Tribolium castaneum: one gene and its partner. The protein of the gene in region 2 purifies or fractionates together with the protein of the main gene of each other region. This does not show direct contact. Links are inferred from orthologs where the notes say so. Each region holds a gene or a part of one and is shown on either strand. Other genes may lie near its edges. The genes, in order: EMC4 and NADPH--cytochrome P450 reductase.

What was found.
Region 1: the proteins of NADPH--cytochrome P450 reductase (region 2) and EMC4 purify together in Homo sapiens (affinity purification with mass spectrometry; 3 studies listed by BioGRID and IntAct, with this or other methods). This does not show direct contact. The link is inferred for Tribolium castaneum from reciprocal best matches to the Homo sapiens genes POR and EMC4.

What each region holds. Positions count from the first base shown.
Region 1 is NC_087398.1:15,106,421-15,118,194, forward strand, and holds EMC4 (ER membrane protein complex subunit 4), read left to right. Parts: upstream 1-5,686; 5' UTR 5,687-5,885; coding exon 5,886-5,938; intron 5,939-5,981; coding exon 5,982-6,444; 3' UTR 6,445-6,490; downstream 6,491-11,774. Other genes in the region: Pss (phosphatidylserine synthase), read right to left, coding at 1-1,063, 5,204-5,379; traB domain-containing protein, read left to right, coding at 9,855-9,879, 9,928-10,175, 10,224-10,615, 10,669-10,844. UniProt on the Homo sapiens protein: Part of the endoplasmic reticulum membrane protein complex (EMC) that enables the energy-independent insertion into endoplasmic reticulum membranes of newly synthesized membrane proteins.
Region 2 is NC_087395.1:17,531,132-17,544,252, reverse strand, and holds NADPH--cytochrome P450 reductase, read right to left. Parts: upstream 8,400-13,121; 5' UTR 8,297-8,399; coding exon 8,240-8,296; intron 7,910-8,239; coding exon 7,725-7,909; intron 7,676-7,724; coding exon 7,333-7,675; intron 7,281-7,332; coding exon 7,156-7,280; intron 3,976-7,155; coding exon 2,722-3,975; intron 2,574-2,721; coding exon 2,429-2,573; 3' UTR 2,264-2,428; downstream 1-2,263. Other genes in the region: ras-related protein Rab-36, read right to left, coding at 12,531-12,598, 12,648-12,858, 12,908-13,041, 13,091-13,121. UniProt on the Homo sapiens protein: This enzyme is required for electron transfer from NADP to cytochrome P450 in microsomes. It can also provide electron transfer to heme oxygenase and cytochrome B5.

The DNA of each region.
Region 1 (11,774 bases), on a different chromosome or scaffold from region 2:
GGAATTCCCCCGTGCCAATCCAGCTCTATGCCACATGACACACCCTATCACACAAGCCACAGAAATAACCAGCTGTACCATCAACCAGACGATTATATTAATGGCTTGAGTCCGCTCAAACAACTCCCTTCCATGTTTGATACAAATCAAAGCTTCCGAGACCATAATGCACCCATAGACCCAGCATTGGGTACCAACTCTTTTACACGTAGTATCCGTAACATAGCTGTAGTACTGTCGCACAGAGGGCGCCACTATCACACCAATGAGAATCAACCTAGCGCTGACTAGTGGATGAGACGCTGGCAATTCGAAAACATGTTTGAGGAAAAACGTGTTGAGTTCGGACGTTTGCCAGAACAATACCAACTGACAAAGCGCAAAAACCCTCATGTAGGAACACTTCGGGTCCAACCACCGGACCGAAGTCCAACTCTCCGGGGTGAACTGCAGCATGGCACGCTTGATTTTGCCGGACGTGGTGTGGATGTCCCTAATACTGACCCATTTATACTCGCGCATTTCCAATTTTTCGCAAATCTTCAACCCGCACCAAATACCAAACCCATTGCATATCAACACGTCGAGAATCAATGCGTCCCACCAGCACTCGATGAAGTTTGGCAGGAGATGGGCGAAGGCGATTTCGGTGATCTCCCACATGAAGCTGATCGCCCATAAAATGCCCATGTGCCGGATTAAAATTGCTTTGAACAGCCAACCCAAATAATGGCCTAATGCGAAGACGTCGATATGGCCCCAGATGCGTTCGGGGGTGATGTCCGAGCAATTGACGCCGTATTCTTTGTCCATGTCTATGTGGAAGTCTTTGAGGCTGGGATCGAACCAGAGAAGGATGTTTTTGACGGTTTGGTAGTTTTGGAAAAGGAAAAAGAGACAGCCCATGAGATAGATGACGCTCATGCCGAAGACGACGCGCCAAACGGCCGGATGTGGACGAGTGAAGGGACCGTTGGGGAATGCCAACACTGAGATGATGAGGAAGAAGAAGATGCAACATAGCATGCCTGCCCATATGTTGTTTTCGACGTTTTCAGTATCCCTACAACAAAAACTGACGCTGAAAAAACAACCCCTACTTTCCTGTATAATTTTCAATGTTCCAGAAATTGATTTATTAAAAGCTGCGACCGAAAGAGAAGTGACTATATTTAAATACGAGGACCGGAGCGCTTACGCGCAAAGAAAAAATTGTGGTTTGTAACTTCTTAAAGTTCTATACACCGAACTAGCTTTGATAAGGTATACAGCCTGTTCCGGCTAAACCCCACATTAGCAGCATTGAAATTTCTAATAAAGATATTTATTTGGAAGTTGGTACTCAGCCATAATCCGTTGTGTTTTGCTCAATAAAATTTTTTTCAAGATGGCGGCACCTCCGATTATACCGGAGGTCGCTATCAACTTCATTATTTTAAATGGAAAGCTATTTTTCACTGCGTTTTTTGATTAGTTGAGTTATTTTAAAGCCGTGTTTATTAGCTTTCCCCATACCAAGTTTAACCGTCTTCGAGATATTTAAGATTTTTTGAGAATTTCTGTAGTTTTTGGATTTGCACCTTAAAAGATCGGTAACTCTCTTAGTTTTAGAGATTTCGAAATCATATTTGGAGAATTAAAGAAGAAGGCCTATATCTGTTCTTCAGTGTGTTCAAAATTGTAAATGAAGATAATAAACCTAAAAATTTTTGAGTTAAGTTTGGAGAATTTCAAGTACCCATAACTTATTTTTTTCAAATGGGATGCCCTAGTTTTTATTTTACTAGATGAAGGAGAATTTTGTTCTGCATCGATATGTATTAGTATTCCGGTATAACTGGAAGTGTCACCATCTTGAAAATATTTTCATTGAGCAGGACGTAACAGATTAGGGTTGTATACAAATTTTCAGATAACCATCATTATTAGAACTACCAATGGGGTTTAGACGAAACACCCTGTATATGTGTTTTTTTAAAACGGAACACTCAACATTTCAACTATTTCGATATAATACCATGCTTTGAAATGTGCAAAATTTTCAATAATGAATAACAACTATAAATTAACTCTTAATAAAATAAATGAACTGAGCATTTAATCTACTTTTGTTTAACCGCAAAACAATCGTTTTTCAATACCCACAAATTAACATAAAGAACTAACTAATTATTATTATTGTCTTTCATCAACGTAATTTATAGATAAAATCTATCAAGTGTGATACTCATAAGATGAAAAGATGAATTAGTAGCTACTAGTAACACACGTATAGTAGTAAGTATCGGAGATGTTTCTCTTTTTAATTTAATGTTAATCATTTTAAATTCTCTGTTATTTCAGTTATATAATATGATTATACAAAAGTAACTAATTATAAGGATTTCCAACATACCGTCACAATGTCCGAATAAATAGTAGGTTCCAACTTTGGAAATAACACCAGAGATTATAACACATAGAAATTAAATGCCAATTGAACTTATTGAAAGTTCAATGGAGTGTAATACTAAAAAATGAAAATTTTTATACGGATAGCCAACAACAAAATAGGCTACCCATATTTTTTTATTTTAAGCAAAGCTCAACCGTTTTGGAGAAAAATAATTGAAAAGGTGAAAATTCCTGGCCTGACGTCAGCAATGTTCCTTTTTGAATCAGCCAGGCACAGAACTTGAGATAGAAAACTGGGCCAACAAAGATAGCTTGAAAGACGTACGTTTTTTCTTAATTTCTGCCTCTGTTGTTTTACATACGACTTCAGATGTGCTGCAAGAGCAGTCATTTTACCAAAACATAAACTTCTGCAAAATATTAGCACACAACACAGTCACAATCGACAACGCACGGCTTTGACATTTGTATTTGACGTTTACCAACCCAAACGTAGGTCGTAGCATTAATTGTATGCAGCGAAAGACTGACGAATCATTAGTCGAGACATTGCTACGTCACAGCGCGAATTTTCTATTATTACTAAAAAAGTACCGATTTAAAAAACTCAGACCGATATTACTAGACATCATGTTGTGTCTACTTTCAGAATCTGCAATTTCCAAAAACTTTTACTTTCGAGTATAACACTCCATTACTCATTTTTTTTTTAATTTTAAAAAATTTAAATTTACTCGACTAGAAATATTTATTTCTTGACGGGTGCTAAAACTTGGAATACCCTGCATTTTTTTTTTTCAATAATTAAAAAATAAATTTAAAGTTGGTTTATTTTAACCATTTAACATTCAGATTGCCATACCATAATTCCTTAGTAGTGTCGTTGCAACCTTAAATTTTACTACTAGTGTAACGAAACAGAATTTAAAACCGCATTTGAACACTATAAAAGAAAAACAAGGGAGTTTTATTCCAGAATCTGAATTAATAACTTCATCCGATAGGAAGAACTGAGTGATGTCAAGAAAAAAAATAAAGAAAATTAATAATAATTATTATACAGACTGATCCAGAAATACTGAGTCTGTTGGCAACACTGTTTAACATTCTTGTGGGGTTGTACGTCAAATAATTGTCAAGAAAAATCGAATTCGGTTACAGTGTTGCAAATTACAAGCACAAATACTTTCAAATGTGTTGCCAACAGACTCAGTATTTCTGGATCAGTCTGTATTATAATTTATAGCACAGTCTTTGATTTTTTTTTACTTTTCTTTATATGATAAGGATATCATAAATTAGGTTTAAGGTAACGTCGGTGTCTAAAAAATCCTTACATAGCACTCATGGCGAATATTAGAAATAATTCGTCAAAATTGAAACCATAAACAAATAATAAAATATAAGATTCCCACTCGCACGATATCACTCACTTTCCACACTCGTTACCAGGTGGGGCAACCTTATCGCGCACTCAAGACAATCGCGATTTCTAATGAAATGAAAATCCTGCACATTGATAACAACCATTCTCAATTTTTATTTAATTGTTTTGTTAATAAATAAAGTCGTAGCAGTTTTATGAGATTTTGGGCACTAACTGTTACCTATAATTTAACTACAAAGTTTTTAGACTAAGTGAATCCTTACCTGCAAGTCCATCGAACCCTGATATCAGAAGTATAAATTTTACTTATTAAATTTGTTAAATAATTGGTCTTTTTTATTTAGAAGCAAACCAGAAGATGGTATAATTTGCCTACAAAGGGATCACTTACCAGTAGCCGACCTTTTTGAAGCCCCTTATTTACAGTATTGCAATAAAACTGATGCCTGCATTGAAATATTCCAACGAAATCTTACCCCAATTAATTCACATTGTCACCTAAATTTACGACGCCACAAGAAGCAACTCATAAGTAAAAATAAATTTTGAAGTTAAAATGTAAATGTGGGTTTGGTCGAAAATTGCTTTTTCCAATTATTATCTTTAAGTAAGTAAAAAATTACCAAAAAATTAGAGGATATACCTTTTGAACGTACAGTCAGGCGTGTAAAATGCAATTTTTTTAATTAATTACAAATCGCGATTTTCTTAGATGTGCGATAAGGTTGCCCACCTGGTATACTATTTACGTTATTCGAGAATTTAAAACTGGTCAGTGCCCACTCATTTTCTCAAATCTTTTTCTCGTAAAATAAAAAGCATACAAATGCTACTTGAATTGGAAATAACTGTTAAATATTTGCTAGAAAAACTTACTACAAAGGACAAAGGTTTTCTAAAACTTACGATTTGGAGATTAAGAAAGACAGCACAGTCATTTTCAATACTTTGGGTTGTGCATGAAAGGATAAGGTAAATGTAATTATTATAAATTGTCCCATATCGATAAATAAATTGGAATAGACAATGGGTTTTTTGAGTCTCACTACTTACATTTTAAATTTAAACATCACTATTTATTAAGTGAGACCCATGCAATGAATTTTGCAGTAATGACTCATCCTACACCCATAAATCCATGTGTATCACTCCCAATTAGCAATTTTTGTATTTATATGGAGTTACAGAAGGTTATTATCTTTGCAACAAAAAGGAATTTAAATGAGGATAGTTTTATCCAATTAATTATCTTAGATTCTAGAGCAGAAGAGTCAAAGATCAATGATAAACAAACGCAAAAAACTACTAATAGATAAGAACCGACTTGTCAGTGAATACCAATCGGAACAGCCCTTTCTAGGGGTATTGAAAGGTGCAGTTCTTACATAACCTAACCTTCACATTTAAAAAATGATTACTTACCTAACGAAAGCAAAATAAATAACGATAGCTATCGATATTGCAAGTGCAGAAATGCTATGTGGGGTGTAGAAAGCTTCTAACGAAATATCATCCACCGGTTTCTCATTTATGGTGTTGAAACTGTCAAATCTACTCCGAGACGATGTATTCGATTTTCCCTTGGAATTCTTCTCCATTTCGGTGTACTATTTTTATTGCTTTAACGACCATCTACACTTGCGAACTGACCTTTAACTGATTCACAAGGAACTAAACACGATTGTTCGAAATAACATGTGATTTTCCAATCAGCAAAAAGCGCGAACCGAAACTCATTCGTGAATCAGTCATTACCACCAACATAAGTCTAGTAATTTAATATTAAACACACCCTCAACACTTGGTAAATTTCAATCATTACGATTGGTGGACATGGTGGCAGTGTCTGAGGTGTGACTTGTGTTTTGTTATTCTTGTCAAACTTAATCGTTAAGTGGTAATTACTGATGGTTTGGTGCTTCAGGAAATGACTACGTCTCGGTTAATTCAATCCCGGACCTAATCTCTTTTATTCAAAACTCGTTTGAATTTTTTTAGTACGCGTGTCGTTACCGCAATCGATAGTGGTTACAGTTACGACAGTCGGACATAACCTGAAATATTAATAAGTTTGTGTCAATAATTGTGTCAAAATTGCAGCAGGATGTCTACGAAACTTCAGATCAGGCGGCAAAAGTGGGCTTTGGACAATACCAGGTACGTTCTGGTGGTTGTATTGCACTTTTACCCGAGGTTTCAGAAATCGCAGTGTAGCAGAAGGTTTGGCCGCTCCCCCAGCCTTTAGCCCCTCTGGACCTGCCTCAAGCAGTGATGTTTCGAAAAAAACGGACGTTAGTCGCCTAATAACTAAAAAATCGTGGGACCTGGCTTTAGCCCCCTTGAAGCAAGTTCCAATGAACTTGTTCATCATGTACATGGCAGGGAATTCAATTTCAATTTTCCCAATTATGATGGTTGGGATGCTTCTGATGAGGCCAGTTCAGGCCATTTTCGCCACAAAAAGTACATTCAAAATGGTGGAAAATAGCAGTGCTTTTAAACAAATGTTTGTCTACATTTTGGGGAATTGCATTAATATTGGTTTAGCCCTTTACAAGTGTCAAAGTATGGGCTTGTTGCCCACACATTCCAGCGACTGGTTGGCCTTTGTGGAGCCCCCAGTCAGACTTGAATATTTGGGTGGTGGTGTATCACTATTATAATGTAATAGCATAATTTTATTTAAATAAATCACACACAGCTACTAAACGATTAATCTATTGCTTCCTATGTTTATCGGCAAAGTCTTTAATCTTTTCAAATAAAGCCTGAGGGTCGTCCACTCGCGGAATCTGCAAAATTTCAATAATCAATAGAACTATTGTGTAAATCAACAAAAAATACTTACATCATAGTTTTGGCTAAGGTAAACTCCTGCATAAAGTCCCACGATAAAACTGAACTGGAATTTTAAAAATAAAAATTGGCACAACCAACGAATGGTTGCGAATGAATATTTACCAATCCTCTAACCATATTTCTAGTTTGTTTTGGGCCTATTATGTTAATTTATTCCGTTCTTTGTTAACTTAAGTATAAATTGTTCGTCAGCTTGACATTGAAATTTTGTGACAGCTGCCATGTGACAGCCTGGGTCGCCAATCCAAGAACATCAAACTCACCAAGTCCACTAAATGAATAATTTTTTTTGTAGCTTCTTTTTCACTAAATTTTGCGACTATTGAAAACTAATTTGAGGGAAGTATGAGACAACATTATTCGATTTTCTGTTCACAGTAAAATGAGGGCGCTTTGAACGTTAGACGGTCTTTGCTCCGTAAATCGAGTTAAATTAATTAAAATTCAGAGAAATTGCTTGGAATAAATGCAGAAATGTTGAACTTTACATTCTTAAGAGATTGCGAAAAACCGACGACGAAAATTTCCACACATAACAGAAAAAAATGCGATAAGATTATCTCTGTTTCAGATATAGCGAGCTACACCCAAACCGTCTTGAATTTGCTTATACCTATAAAAATTGTATGCTAGGAAACAAAATTTTAGAAAACTAATTTTCTATTTAAAAACTTTAAGGACCATATCTTTATCTTCAAGTTTTTACTTCTTATGGGAGTACCAATGTTGTTGAGTATCTTGAAATTAATTTAACGACCTGTCTTACAAACAATTAAACCGTTGAAAAGAGAAACACTTTTATGAAATGGTCGACTTTTTTCGGATATCTGGTTTTCTACAAGAACCTTATTATTACTCTTTTCTTTTTTTTGTAACTATCATCAATGTTTTTTACTGAATTTTTGAAAAAATATGATTTGCATGAATCAGGAAACTGACATAATTTGATTTGAATGCTTAATTAAAAAAAAACTGTTTGTCTTTAATAATCCAAATAATAAGGTATTTATTTGCAGCTGCTTTTAAAGCCATTGCCTTTTTCTTTTTTGCTCCTCAAAAAAGATTTCCTATTAAATGCTTCTATTGCTTTTTGAAGCTTTTCGGAGATCCAAGGTTTGCCTTTTTCGTTTTTATTTGTAGGTTCGTAACATTTTCAAAAAATAGCAATTAAAAATATTTACTATTTTCCTATAAAATGCTGAGGGGATAACCTTGCGTGGTGTGTACCCTTAGTTGTACATTATTAATATAAATGTTTATATATACAAAATTACAAAAGTAAGCACTGCTCAATGTGATCTTGACTATGTTCAAAAGGAAACTCAGACTGACATATTGATACAAATAAAAAAATCTACTTTAACAAAACATTTTGACCTACGGTAGCATATTTCATTCTATTAACTTAACAGCTAGTTATAAAACTTATATAACTATAACAAATGTGTACCCAACGAATTAAATTAATTCGATGCCACTAGAATAAATTCAGTACTTTTTTTGGTGTATTGACTACTATAGAGATCTACAAAGACAAAATTTAAAATACATTTTTGTAATTTGCCGCCATTTTGATGCTTTAATAGTCATCTTAAAGCATCAAGTGCGATGTCATAATAGTCATTATTTGACGGAACATTTTATGAAAATATTTAGGTTGGCAAGAAGCAAATTCGGGACCGTAGTTTGGCGAATTTCACAAATTTCAGGAGGCGAAGATTAGGTACCTCTATTGCCATCCAAGCTCTTGTTTTTTGACAATACTTTGATAAAACAAAAATTTTAAATCAATTTTTCACTTTCAAAATTAAGATATTACCATCTGTCACAAGCGGCAAAAAGGGGATAAATTACAAAAAATAGTATAAAAAACTTGTTTCATAAGATTTTAAAGCATACATTCTTTCAAAAAACTGAATTCGTGCTTTAAAGACTGGTCTTATGAAACTTGTTTTTTAATATACTATTATCAAATGGCTGTAACGTTGATGAGGTGTTTTAGTCGCTGCGCGATAATCCTCCATTTTTCTCTATATTTTTACATCATTTGATGTTTCTTTGAGGTTTTGAATTTTTTTTTTTAATTATCTATAATTTCCATCAACCGGAACGGCCCTAATACCACACATTATTTGATTATTTCAAATAGGTATACTAACATTACTAACGGAAACAAATTAAGACATAAAAAGTGTTAAATTCAGTTTATAGATATCTTTGTATTTCAAAATAAAACGGTGTATAAAATTGAGGAAATCTTGAGAAACTCATAGAAAATTGTTGTAAAAAAATAAACAAAATTTTGTGGAATTTGTAAGAATTTAGAGTAAATTAAAGGAGATCAGGGAAAATCATTATTAAATTAGAGAAAATCTGATGTACAAAATTTGGAGTGCGGTTTACCCCTCGGTTAGAGATCAAGTAAATCTAGGTACCTATTGCAAATTATGTACGTTTCATGGTTATCAAACAGCGCAGCGAATACGTGTGAAGATACAAAAAGTGTAAGGCACAAACTGAAAATAAAAAATAAACAAAAAAAATACCATATTTCTATTTTCAACGACTTAGATTTAAATTAATTTTACGCGTCTAAATCATCGGCAAAAATGAAATGTATTCGGTCGGTTAAATTGGGGCTTAAATCGTAGAAGATAGACAGACATACGGTCCCGCAGACTTGTTTAAAGAAGAAAACTTAACTCTACAACTTATTTTTTCTTACATTTTTTTTGTATCTTCAACTGCATTCGCACTTTCGCAGTTATTTATTTGAATGTAGTTTTCAACATAATTTTTAATTTGTGACTTTAATGCACTATTTGCACGCGTTTTTTTTTGGAATTGTGCACCATTAATCATGATTTATATAAATGCAGTCATTTTTCCAATTTACTATTGCTCTTGAAATTTTTAACGGAACTGACCAACTGCGCGTTCTGGCGACTCTATCGGAACTATGAAATCATAGATTCACTTTCCACAAATGAAAACTTTTATTGTTAAAGAATACAAACTCCTGAAGGCTGTGTGTTATTTTTTGAATTTGGAGTCATAATGCACCCAACAACCCGAAAGTCCCTAAACCGAAACGTCAATGCGGCTGTCATTGTCATAAATTTGACACTTTCAAAAGTCGTTTTTCTCTCATAGCTATTTGCAGTTTAGTTTTAGTTCCCTTGTAGTTTTACGTGTTGCAGCTTTAATACCAACAATGGAAAACTCGTTAACAAATTTCGGTAAATCATTTATTTGCATTTACCCTTTTGCAACGGTAGAAATTGCAGAATTAACCGACAGCACCTTAAAAGCGAATTCCGATTCGGAACACGGTTCGGACAAAAGCGAGACACTCGAAATTTTAAGTATCGGCGACACCGACCAGTCGTCTTCAAACGGAGGCAAGTCTGACGAGGACTTTGACAATAATCTCCCCGAAACGGTGACTCTTCTCAAACATGAAGCAACAGGTGCCAAAGTTTATCTCGTTGGAACGGCTCACTTTAGCAACGAATCCAAGGAGGATGTTATCAAAGTTAGTGCAACTTGACTAGTGTTTGCCATTTTTCCCATTTGACCTTAGGTTATTCGCAATATTCTTCCACATGCTGTTGTTTTGGAACTGTGTGCCTCAAGGACCAACATTTTGTCGTTGGATGAAAAAACAATCTTAGAAGAAGCCAAAAATATAGATTTGCAAAAAATTGTTAATAATATTAAGTCTAGTGGCCTTTACAATGGAATTATGTACATTTTGCTCTTGAATATGAGTGCCCATATTACGAAGGAGTTGGGGATGGCCCCAGGGGGCGAATTTAGGGTTGCTTATCAGGAGGCCGAAAAAATCCCCAATTGCGAGGTGCTGCTAGGTGATCGCCCCCTTGGAATCACCCTCCACAGAGCTTTGTCCAAGTTAACTTGGTTCCAGACTGTTAAGCTAGCGTGGCATTTGTTGACTTCAAAAGAGAAAGTCAGGTACTGAATTTGTATTAATTTGATCTAGTGAAGTTCACATGATTAATTTCTAGCATTGAAGACATAGAGAAGTGTAAAAAGCGTGATATGTTAGAACAGTTATTGACTGAATTGGCGGGCGAATATCCGGCGTTTAGGGACGTATTTCTGAACGAGAGGGACATTTATTTAACTCATTCTCTCCAGGCGGCTGCCACTGCTGCTTGCAAGAAGAACAGAGCCAAAGAAGGTAAAAAAAATCGATTAAAGTGAACCGTGACTTAAAATTAAGTTGGCAACACATATCTGGTGAAATACATCAGTTCTGGTACTTTTATGAAAAAACAACCTGTTGTAACCGCGGTTTCACCACAAACTTAATACGTTGTTAATTAAAAATCGAGTATTTCCGTAAGATTTAAATAGGAGACGAATTTTGCAAAATTTTTGAAAATGGTGTTTAATATAGGGTATCCGTTTTTTTGGTTCACCATCAGTTAGTTATTTAAGAGATATGGGGTCGGTTAAATTATTTTTATGCTGAACAATTATCTGAAAGAAAATTTGTGATTTATGGGAAAAAAAAATTGAAATTTGCAATTTTCGTTTTTATTTTTTCAAGCTGAAACGAAAAGAACTAGATGTTTTTAACTAGCACGTTCTTCAGACACTTTTACAAGGCATTTAAATCTGTCTTCGAATTTTCCAAGGTGTTCTTGATGTCAAAGTTACAACACTCAACTTTGGCTTTTCTTATGGAAATCATATATGGTTTTTGTATTTTTGAAAAGTGTTTTTATTTCTGATTACAACGATATATTACATGATATGATCGAATCTTGTATGGTGATTAAAATCGAGAAAAAAGCATTTTTACGAAGAGTGCTTTGGAAAAAATGCTAACAATTGTGTTGGTTTAAATAAACTATTTTGGAAGTTTAATTGAATTTGTATCTAGAACGTTCACATTTTCGTCAAGCTTACTTACTTAAACACTAAACGACATGATAAGCTAGAAGTTTATTCTTCGCAAAACAAAACAAGGCAAAGTTTTAAAAATTCTGCTCGCATATTAAAGTGAACTGTCAAAATTTAGTTTATTAAACAAAATTTTTGGCGTTTTTGTTCAAAGCACTCTTTGCAAAAATGCTTTTTTCTTAATTTTAGTTAACATGTAAGA
Region 2 (13,121 bases):
TAGCTGATTTTTGGAAAAGCGTGTTTTTATGAATGATATTGTTGGAGAACATTTTTACATAACTTAGGTTGTAGTTTGTTGCTTTATACCAGTTTGAAGCGTTCGGTCGTTTCGTACATTTATTTACAAGAACTTGTTTATTTTTTTAAATTATTGTGATGTTTTGTTTTATTGACTGCTCTATTTTCAGTACTAACCTTAATTGTTTGTGCTCAATTACTAATTTAAATTTAGTGTATTGCGCTATCGTTTACGTGGTAGTTTAGTGTCATTATTTAAACTGTACATAAAGAATTGTATTTTTTGATAATGTTAATCTAGCTTTTGTGTATATTTTTGGGGAGCAACTAGGTGACTGTAGGATGATCAATCCATTTATCTTGTATACATGTTCCTATTATTATTATTGTTTCTACCAATGGTTTTGGTGTTTCCATTCTAAGTTTATTTTAAAACGAACTGGTTTTTCGTACATTTGCACTGTTTTCACACAGCAAACGTATTCGTTATTTTTAAGGATTGATGATTCTTTTTTCTAGTTTCGTATTTATGAAATATTTGTACATAGTATCTCTTGTACTTTTTTTCTTTTCGGAAGTAAAATATAACAGATTTTTTTCATTGTGACAGTTTACTTTTATTTTGTGAATGAAGGGTTAAAAAGCGCCGAATTTCAGCCATTGTCTTGGTGTTTTACAGCTGTTGTAAGTAACATTTTTGGAAAGTTATTTACAGGAAACGTTCTCCTACTCGGGCTGTAGGCGAGAAAGTGTTTTAAAATGCAATCAGTGCTTTATTTAATTCAGAAAAAAATCTGAAAACTAAAAAAAATTGTGTTTTTTGAAAATTATTTCCCTTCAACAATTAAACTACAAGAGAAAATGAAATACTTTTGGCCGTATAGCAATAAAATGGGATTAATTTTAACGTGAAATCTTTAATCGTTAACTGTTAAAACGAATTTTCGGTAATGGCCTTCATCAACGATCCTCAAAAACTGAACCTTTACTCTTCAGCAAAATGTTTTCTTGAATTTGAATCCGAAGTTGGTTTTTGATTTGGAAAAGACGTTTTTGTGGTAATTTTTCATTTACTTCGTATCTTACTTATGAATAAAGCTAGAAATTTATTTTTTTTGCAAAAAGTTCCTCATTGAATGTAGTTTTTAACGTAAATACACGAGTTTTAGAAGTTTTGAGAAAAGTAAACAGGCAACACTTCGAGTACAAAAGGAAATATGCCACTTCAAGTGCATATCACAGTAAATTTAAATTGCGATAACTTGGTGAGTGATAAAGATATCGAAATGATTAGATATAAAGTTATATTATTAGTGAAATATTGCTGAATTTTATACTATCCTTGTTTAGATAATATCACAATATTAAAATTACGTAAAATTCTAAATAGTTGTGGGTTTATTTTTGGTCTAAACAAATACGATCATGGCTCGCTCAAAATACCCTAGCTACGTTGGTTAAAAGTTGAAAATATTATCAACACTAATTGAGTACATTTATGTTTAAACTTATATAACAATTTCGTCTTCTTAGAAAATACTACTTTAGAAAAAAAATAGATTCAAAAAAAGCATTTATAATGTTATAACATACGTTATAATCTCTATGCCTCCGTTTAGTACATTTATCTTTCAACACTCGTTAATTTATAATGGTGTTACAAGTTTTGAATTCCTCGGTACTTTTTCATTTGAATGTTTCGGTGAATAAATGTAGTACACTGTACAAAGATTTCTTCTTTTCACAAAACCTTATGGTTTTCATCATTACATTACTCACTTTTGAGTTATTTTTAAGTTTTAGTTTCTTTTTCTTGTTTTGTTTATGTACTTCTCTGAAGTTATTTGTTTTATTTTTCTTATTATTTAATGTTTATATTTTTTTTTGGGCTTGAGTTGAACAGCCTTCGGCTAGACTTTGCCACACAGAGTTTGTATATTCATTTATTTGTGTCTATTCGTTAGAATCCATTCATTGAGGAATTTTTTGCAAAGAAATAAAGTTTCTAGCCATATCCTGAAGGAAGATAAGACGATGTAAACACAAAATTTGACCAATTTTGTTTTCCAAAAAATTTTAACAGGAACATCTTGTCTTCACGATGAAGGCAATTCCAAACAGAAAATCGAATTTAAGATTCGAAGTCACTAGAACATTTTACATAAGAATTAATTACAAAAAAACGTGTGTCCTTCAACTTACTTGTGGCCAGTTATTTTGGAAACAGAAAAAATAAAACAATGTAAAACGATACCATTTATTATAAATATAATATTGTTTAGTAAAATTTAACAGTAGCAACCCGTCCTTGGAAATATAGCAGGAATGTCGCCGAAATTCAACAAATTTGGGCACCTTGGCAATTTTTAAATTAATTTTACAACAATTACGCCTAACGAAACGTTTTATTAACTCCATACGTCGGCGGAATAACGTTTCTGCGTTTCCATTTTCTTCAAATACGCTGACGCCTGTTGCTCGGTCATCTGATCTTTGTCTTGAATAATTTTCATGACGATATTACGCACTTCCGGTGCCATTGATTTCGCGTCCCTAAAATAGTTATTAATTATACGAGTGCGAAAACACAAGTTCGAGGGCTGTCGTTATGCAACCAGCGTATGCGAGTTGCATACTTAGACATCCGAGAACTTTGGGCGTTTTAATTTAAAACATGTTGCTATCGGAAACGCCAACTTACCCGCAAATATACAAGTGCCCATTGTTCTCCCCAATGATCCTCCAGACCTCCTCCCGATTCTTCTCCAACAGATGCGAAACGTAAACTTTATGCGCCTGGTCCCGCGAAAACGCCAAATGCAGCGTCAACAGCCCGCTCTTCTCGTAACTGAGCAACTCCTCTTCGTAGATAAAATCCTCAGCCTTCTTGCGACACCCAAAGTAGAGAACTGTTTCACCCACAGCCTTGTCTTCCTCCTTGGCTTGGTGGCGCTCCTGGATGAAGCCCCGGAAGGGCGCCAGTCCCGTCCCCGGCCCGATCATAATGATGGGGGTCTGCGTTTTGGTGGGTAGTCTGAACTGCGACTTGCGGATGAAGATGGGGGCTGTTGGGGGCTCCTGTCCCGGGGCCGGTTTCTTGAGAGCCAGCCAGGTGGTGCACACGCCCTTGTTGTGGCGCCCCGTGGGCGTCTTGTACTCCACCACGACCGCCGTGATGTGGACTGTGTTGGGGTAGAGCTTAGGCGACGAAGAAATGGAGTAATACCGTGGCTGGAGACGCGGTAAAAGTTCACAAAGGTGGTCAAGCTTGGGCTTGCACGAGGGCATGTCTTCGAGGATGTGCACGATGTTGCGGTTGTCTTCGTTGACCCACTGCTGGTACAGGGCTTTGCCCTCGGGGGACGTGCTCGCCATGGTCTTCAGCTTCTCCTTCTCCGCAGGGTCGGTGCAGTACTCGGACAGCTCCTTCAGGACGTGGGTGCGTGGGTTCATGGTGATGTCCAGGTAGTGGGTCAGGGCGGTCCGGTAGGTGGTGGGGCACGGGAACGGGTGCTTCTTGCTGGACTCCTCGTCGGTGTTGATGAGCGTGAAGATGGTGTCCAGGTCCGTGTTTGTCAGTTTGCCGATTTTCTCGACCAGGTCGGAGTCGTTGATTGGGTAAACGGCGACGTGGTCGCCGGCGTCGTAGCGCATTTTTGAGCCTTCGATGTCGAACTCGATGTGCATGCAGGACCGGTCGTTGCCTTTGTGGAGTTCACGATTGACCAGAATTTTCGCCAGGAAGGGGTTTTTGGCGTCGAAGGGCGGCCGCTGGTTTTTGAGGGAGTGGAGGCGCGCCATCTCACCAGTGTAGAGCTTCTCCGGGACTTCGTCTTTGAACTCCTGGAGGCGGTATTGGCGCATGCTGACGTCCTCGCCGGTTGACTCGATGCCGAAGTGTTCGCACACCGCGGGCCAGAACTTGTCCTTCCACGTGATAAAGTCATCTTCAATGCTAGACGAGAGTTAGACATTTAAAAATGGATGCTAATACACTGCTAGATAAATACATATTTTTTTAAAAAAACAGTTCAAAGATTTGATAAGAGAAAAAATAATACAGAAGCCTAAGAATCCCGGGTTTGGGGCGCAACAATTTCGAAGAATTAATAAATAATAATAATAATAATAATAATAATAATAAAATTGTGTACTGGTCGGAACAAAATATTCATGGTCATTATTTTATTTATTAAATAATAACTTGATCATAACTTGGAAGGCGGATTACTTAAAATCAAGGACATAGGTCTTTCATCTAATGAAAGTGCTTATTGACTTGGCAGTTTTGACAAAATTATTAACATAGTATTCGGAAATAAAATTAACTAGACGCCCTCTGGTGATGACTTTTGAACTATGTCGAAAACAGTAAAGAAATTTTCGTAATGCCACATTTAACTGACATTTAATGAATTGTTCAACAATTTTGCGTGTATAGTATTAATTACTTACAATAGAAAGAATTACTTTAAAAGTACGTGGTGGTAAATAGTAGCGTTGACTTTTGTTCTGTAGTTTTTCGTGGTATAAAGTGTTTATTGTTGGAACTTGAAAGTGGATAAAAAGTGAAAAATATTTAAATTTTGATTACGAAGTGTTATCAAACAGTTGTCTAATTAAAGATTATAAGTAATGGATCACAGCGAACACAAACTTTGGCTCAAGAAACCAATAAATTAGTGAAGTGTTATGAATTTTAGGTTAGAATTTTCCACTGAAAAAATCATGAAATGCTGCGGTAAATCTACAAAACTACAATAAAGATTAACAACTGCTGATACATTTAAACGTAAATTATGCCAAAAGGTAGGCTTTTCAATGTCTTTGTAATAATTTTCCAATAAAGAAAGTGAACCAAATAGTCATTCGTTATTCGTGTTTTCCTCGTCATCTCTCATTCGTCAACATAAGTTTCTTGCACCAAAGATACAATAGTCATTCCGCATAGGCAATGTAATAATTGTGAAGCCCCAAAATTCGTACAACACTCAAAATATCCGAATAAACATTTTCCCGCCATTTATGGTTACTGTTTTCGACCTAGCTCAGTGGCGCCCCCAACGGTAATTTTACTTCCGAATTTGCTAACAGAAAAGCCAGTAAATATCTTGAGGGCATTGTTGTTTTTAATTAACCTTAATTTTTTATTTTTTAAGTATGTATGCATTGTTACTAATTGCTATAATAAACAATAGGAGTTGATTAGGGAACTTTTAAAATCATTGTGACACTCACCATTACCATTATCAAAATTAATAAAAAAAAGAAAAGCATCAGCGAATGATGAATCAAACACTAAAATTTAAAAAAGTTTTGGTGAAATATTCAGGCAGAGTCCACCAAATGTATATACGATGTTTTTAACATTAAAATTCAGCGGGTTTCTCTTTAATAGTGTGTTTTTCTGTAAGCCTGAAATTTTTTCGGATTTTTTCTACAACTGCTTATAATTGAAATTAATTATTTACAAGTACGTTTACTTTTTTGGTGAGTGTAAGTATAGCTGTAAAAAATTGTTATACCTTGTTTCATCTGAGAGAACAAGCAATGCTTAGGTAAATGTTGTTTTGATCAAAATTCGTAAAAATGATGGGTAGCCCCAAAAAATAATTAATAAAGTAAAAATTCAAATAAACACTTCGTATAGAAAAAAATCAACGAGCGGGGCTTTGAGCGCCAAAATGGGTCGATACTGCCCTTTTTATTGCGTTGATATATATTTTTTTAAATAAACAATCTTTAAGTAGTACATACTGACTTCACATAGCGTGTATAATTTTTACCTAGCGTTTACGATTTTTTTAGGTAGCTTTTAATTAAAATTTGTTTAAAGTGAAGTGCCCACTGAAAAAATCGTTATTCACAAGATCTAATTTCAGTTCATAGGAGAATTTTACAACAACGCATTTACATTTTTTGGATTGAAATGGAGCACAAATTGAGAGTTTCTAGTGGGTTTGCTTGGCTCAAGATTTGTCCATTTTTCGCTGGGATTTAGTTAAACACAAAGTTCTTTGCTTATACAGAACTCAATTTGTGTTTTATTCACTTCAAAAAATTCAAATACGCTGTTGCAAAATTCTACAATGAACTGAAATGGAATATATTGTCTGTTTGAAAACTAAGTAAACACCAAAATTAGTTGTTATAAATGATTTCTGCACTTCAAAAATTTAATAGATAATGTAATTTATAGTTTCAATGAGAGATCTAATCATAATTAACTATAGATTTTTATCAACCTTATTTAAAAAAATAATTTGGTAAAATGCGACGTTAGGAAGTGCCTTTAAAAAAATTAAGATAAGGGTAGCTAGCGGCAAGGGCATTAAATAAAATACACTGTAAGTGTAACTTATTCAATGACAAGGGGATGAAACCTAAAATGTAACTACTGTTTACATAAAAAAATACACTGCTCAGTTTTGAAATGAAAGCCCTGTATGTATTTACTGTGAATTTATTTTTAATCTATTGTAGTCATATAGAGGGTGTTTCACACAACTTTACAAATTATTATTATTAATTATTTAATTTTTGGAAACTCATGACAGTAGTTATAGTCAAACTAGAAGAAAAAACAATTATCATGAGGTGGTCTTAGATACGATAACCATAAAGATAATCAATTCCCTTGGGAGTTATAGGATTTATAATTCCCTCCAACCTAGTTTTCTTCAACCATTCAACCTACAACTTTTTGTACGCCTCGGAACCAAAAAATAGAAGTGTTTTTTTCATTTTTTTTTAAATTCCGTCAGTGATTTTACTTTTTTATCTCATTTTTATAAGACAATTTTTAATAAAAAAATTTCAGATACGTAGCTTCCGTCAAAAATAATAAATTTTTACTTTTAGTAGAAATTTAGTTTGGTAAGAAATAACATTATTTATCTATTAGGGGAATTATTACCCAATACACCCGTTAGGCAACGGATTTACTGCCCAAAGGGCTGTTAAGACCCTTATAATTCCCTTGGAATGTGAATAACTATTACTGTGCATTTATTATTTTTATTAAAAAAAATACTTGACGTTTAAATAAAATACTGTGCACTTAATGATTTATACTTGGTGTACTTAGCGTTTAACGAAAATAAAAAAATATTTTTATACAAAATGTTTGTCTTACTTGGCGTCGTCGTCGCCCAGTCCGAGATCAAACACTCTCGTGGCCCCCAGCTCCTCTAGCCTCTTGTCAACATAGATGGCGACTTGGTTGTAGTGCTCGTAGGTTTTGTTCCCCAAGCCAAACACCTACAATTACCAATCAGTTACGGGCCTCCACGTGTCGGCCAAGGCCACCTACCGCATAATTGAGGCCTGATAAATCAGCGTCGCCGTTTTGCAGCCACTCGTAGAACTCCATGGCATTGTCAGTGGGGTCACCTTCCCCGTACGTCGCCAAACAAAACACAGCCAGACTGTTGGGGATCGATTTCAAGTTCACCAGCTCCTCCATGTCGCACTCCTCGGGGTCCGCCACCATCCCCTTCAGCCGGTACCTGACGCCCTCCTTGGCCAGCCTCCCGGCGAACTCTTCCCCCGTTCCCGTCTGGCTCCCGTAGAACACCACCAGGCTGCGTCCCGACGACTTGAGTTTTTTGATGAAGGAGTTGTCGGAGCTGGTTTGGAGGGTCATGGACGTGGGTCTGCGAGTGGCAATTAGAATAATGAATTGTTTTTTAGGGAGTTACTTACTGGATGGAGTATGAGCGTGCGGTGGCGGCCACATCTTTCTTCTTCTGCTTGTTTAGGAACCACCAGGCGACTCCGCCGATTAAGAGCGTCAGCAGGATGATGTCAATTGTGCTGAAGAGGGACTCGGAGGCTTCGGGGATCTGCTGGGTGCCGAGACTCGCTTCTGCTTCGTCCATTTTGAGTAGCTGAAAAAATCCCGAAACTAAAGACGCAATGGCTCCGATCGATAAAATCACTTTGACTTATTAGCAAATGGAATGACATGTAGGAACAGATAATGACGAACTTTGAACGGCGAGAATAATAACTGCGATAAGAATTTTCGTTTTGCCGGATCATTCTGAATTTCACTTTTGCGCGATGAAAGTGAAACCATGATGCTGCGCTTTACAACAATGGATCTCCCGATTTTTATTGTTTCGAAGCGAATTAATGCTCAATCGGAAAAGCGCACCGTAATAGCAAAATGCAAATCAAGTGCAAAGTGAGCGTCCTTGAGGCACAATTAGACTCACCGAAATAACTAAAACACCAACTAATTTCAAGCAATCGCACACATTTTTTTTATCCATTTTGGCGAACGAGTTGAAACAGAAAGCAATCAAGGCACATTTAAAAGTGGACGGGTCCGTGCACCGTGCGACCTTAAATAGCAAGTGTTACATGCAGTAATGTTGTGTGACGTCACGGCAAGGAATTACATTAAAATGATTAAAAAGAAAAATCGTAATAACATTTATTTGCATATTGAATTGGCAAATTTGTTATCGTGACTTCCTAAATTATCATCGGCAACAAACAAAATTTAAGCTTTAAATAATTACGTGTCATTGCTCAACTCCGGATTCGGCAGATAAAAGTATTATTTATGAAAAAGAAAGCAAAAAAATAGAAAGCTAATTTTCCACGAGTGTTATTATTGTCATCATCACGTACTATTCCGCGAAATGCTCAGTTGTCTACTTATAGATAATTTTTGTATTCAGGAAGTAAAAAACATCACATCAGAACCAAAAAAAACACATTTAATTAAAAATTCTATTTTAATTTTGGATCCTTGATAGTAGGTAGTTGTACGGATATCTAAAGGTTAGGATATGAAACAAATAAATCGTTATTTCAAAGGAATGAGTTTTAAAAAATTGTATTTGTAAAACGGTTAACACATAGGAAACAAAAAATACAAACAAAAACAAAAAGACATCAACATAAGACACAGATTTTATCGTAAACTACATTAAAACAAATTTCAAGCTTCTACCAATTTGCACTCTGCCCCATATTTTTCAACGGTTACAGATGTAAGAAGAATCAAATCAAATTATTTCACAAAATTTTGAAAAAATCGACCAAAATACTATCACCCTATTACTTATAATAAAATGGGAGTTATTTAAGTTCTCTTCATGTTGAGGTTAAAACTAAGTTCTTTTTTTTTCAAAAATTTATTTGAAACTTAATGGAAAAACACCGAATTTGATCGAAATTGATGTTATTTTATTTTGATGCTAGTTTCTCTCAATCTAGCTCGCTTTTGATTGAAATTTTGTCAAAATTAGCTGAAAAACAACATTTGGTCGAAAATCATGGTGTTTTTTTTGAGCTAAAATTTTAATAAGTTTAGAGGCGGCGCTAAAACAAATAAAAAAGCAGCAAACTGAAAATTCGTTGAATTTTTGCTGTTCTTGAGTGTTTAGCAAGTTTTCCAGCCAAAAACAGAATTTTTTTTTCGAGAGGTTCACATACTAAGTTAGTAATAACTGACTAAGAAATCACCAAATTTGATCGAAATTGAAAAAATTGTGTTTCTTTTTGAACCTACAATTCATTTATTTTATAAGACGTCAACACGCCTCAAAAACACAAAAATAAAATGCCTGTTTCACTCGATTTTTTGTTCTTTTTTTCAGCGAAATTTCGTTAAGAATAAGCTGAAAATGGCAAAATTTGATCGAGAAGTGAGTTATTCCTACTTTTTCCAAGCTTTTAAACACCTAAATTAGAGAATAAAATTTCAGTCAGCTATATCCCTACCTTCAACCATTTAGGCCCCAAAATCGTTCAAAGACGTTCAAAAGACGTATTTACTACCGTATTATTTTTTTGGGTTCTGAAAATCCTGCGATATTGTATTTCGTTTCGTCTCCTAAGTTATAGCCTTTAGTAGGTAGTTTTTAAACTATCATTGTTTACAATTACTCATTTGTCATGTTTTTTATCACTAATCTGAGTGAATGTAATCATAATCTTTCTTATCACTAATAATTATTATTAATTAAAAATGTTGCAATTTTTGTAAAAGAGTGTACAAATTGGACAAGTTTATAAAATTTTCAAGAACTGTAGTGAAGTTCGTGTCTGTATTATTGATTATACAGGGTCTCTAAAAAAGTATGGATACAGTTAAATATTTTCAAAACAGTTTAACAGAGCACCTTAAAATTTGGGTAACTGTTAAAAGTGTTTAAATTCTATCATCTGAGAACTTTCTGAACTCTCTGTCGTCATTTGTTTTAAAAATACAAGGCTAACTTGATTTTTTTTAAATGGGACAAGGGGTCAAACTTAATAATTTTTAATTATAATATTTTAATTATAAGTTTTTTCCTGATTTCAGTAGTGTAACATAATACCCACCTTTATTTTGATTAAAAAGTAAAAAAAAACTAAAAATTCAAAAATTTAAATTTCGATTTCTGGAAAAGTAAAACCAAGTTAGCTTTGAAAATATTGTTATTAGCGATCTGTCACATTGTCCAAAAATGAAACTTGTGTGTAATAATTAGTTTAACTGAGCGAAAAAAATTCTCATGTTGGTTGGTCATGCCAATTTTGAACATCTTTTGTAGCATAAATGTATTTCGTGTTTAAATGTATTCTTTTTTAGTTGAAAGTGTTATTTCAAGAATTATTATTAACTTTACATATTTTTTGGTGAATGTTTAAGCGGCAAAGAGCTAACAACAAATGAAGACAACATTTCCAAGGCTAATAAAATTTTATTAATTCGATTTTTTTAAGTTTCGATTAAAATAAGGGATCATGTGTTACACCACAGAACTCAGAAAAAATGCTCAAAATATGAAATTTGATCCTTCTTGCCATTAAAAAAAATTCAAGTTAACCTTGTATCCTAAGAACAAATAGGGACATAAATTTGATAAACATCTGAAACGATAGAATTTATATACTCTTAAGGATGTATAGTTTTTATAATATTTAACTGTATCCATACTTTTTAGACCTACCCTATAGGTCTCGTAAAATTATGTGAAACACCCTGTATTTGGCAACACATTATTATTGTTATTATTATTAATAATTTTTATTAGTGATCCGATAATCATCACTCTTTAGGGCCTTAATGATTTTTTTTTTCAAAATACCTTTGACACCACAAACATTATTTTTTCAATTTTTTGGAGAAAACAAAGCTCATCAAAAGAGCTTTCCATCGTAAAAAAATGATGAGCCGTCTTGTGTTCTAAAACAATCGGGTTTAGATATTTTCAGGTTGAATTTGTGACAGATTTTTTCAGTGAACTTGAATCTGTAGCCATTTTTTACGCCGCGGTCTAAACAAATTACAATGATTAAATTTATCGCCCATTTAAATGCATAAAACTAGGTACAATTGCAATTAAACTGCCTATCGCTGGGCCAATCAGAGTCCATTTCCGTCATTCGGGTGATTGAGAACGTGGCATTATGGTCCGCATTGAATGAATATCTGATTTTAGGACACATTCGTTTTACTAATTTTGTCCATAATTTTGCTCCACTTTCGCCGTAACTTTTTGATGCAAGTTGTTTACACAAACTCTAATCTCAAACGTGATGATTTCATTTCATTTTTAATAAACCGATAAGACTTAATGACCTTTTCCAACATTTTCACTGCAAAAATTAAGATAATGTAGACATCGGAACAGGTTTGTCGGTGTTTTCAAGTACAAACCACTGTTTAAAAAATAAAATACGAAAAGTACAAGATTATGAGACCTTTACTGGTGTTTTACTTCTAATGGTACTTCTTATAATCAGCGGTGTGCGGTTTTAATTGCTGGTAATTATGTTACTTGTTTGCAGATTCACTTATTTTTATTTATTACACGAGACAGAAAATGGGTGTCATTAGAGCAATCTTCGCGTGTCCGTTCAGGCTGACCTTGACTTAAAAACAATAAGTGTAATAGTATATAATTTTTATTTTGCAAATGCCTTGACAAAAACTCAAATTTATATGTACATACCTACAACTTGGTGTACGTGACTTGAAAACAACGTCTAAATGTAAATCACGAATCACCTATACAGTGACGTCGAAATTGGAATAAATCGGAATTAATTGACCACGAAAACACGGCACACAAGGGACGTGTTGGGTCATTCCTCCACAAGGGGATTTTCCCCGCAATTTAAATTTGCCGCGCAAACTGGCCTATTAGTGCAGTCCAAGTAATTATTATTCATTACCTGGCTGTTGATAACTCGGGAATTGGCGAAGGCCCTCTTGATTGCAAACACCCAGACCGAAATTACCACACCTGTTGCAAAACAAGGGGGGAACACTTAATTTTTTACGTTAATTTTATTAAAACAGTGAACGTAAATTAACTAGAGACACTGGGTATAAGGTAACTACGTCAAAGGCTCGGACGCAACAAAATTTATCTGTCCAAAGTGCGAGAAATGGGCAAAACGAACACAAGGCTGTTTTGGTGATTACATACTTCCGGCAAGGTCACGTGCGGCGTATAACTGGTTGCCTACACAACTAAATACTTGGGGGAAAAACATGTCTATTTAAGCTTTTGCACACTTGCTACCGCACCCAGTGTGCCGATCATCACCCCTTCTCTTTTTCTCCACGCCTGAAAGTCACCATTAATTGAAAAAAAAATGTAAACAGACTTGTCATACATATTAATTCAGTTCCAATTTTTTTGCTATTGTTGTTGATGTTTTCCGTCCCAGTTATGTTAATGTGCCGTTTAAAGCTCAGAGCTGCGGCCCTGACGAACAGTTCGTCAATGTTTTCGCCAGTTTTGGACGAAACGCTCCAGAATTCCGCGTTCAGAGTTTTTGCACTTGCTAGGGCGATTTTTTCGACACTGTTGTACCCTTCTTGCGACTGAAACGTTACTAATCAAGAGACTTGAAGCAATTATTTAAACAATTACGAGCAAGTCTTTCTTGGACCCGACAAGGAAAATAAAAGGGGCGTTGTCTTTGCACACTTCGAGAGCGTCATGTAGCCAATGTTTGCAATTTGCCAAGGTTCTTATCGTCGACAAATCAAACACGAGCATAATAACTGGAAGTAACATTAGAATGATTATTCAAAAACTGGTTTTTATTGTTACCATGAGCTTTTCTGTAGTAACATTGAGCGAT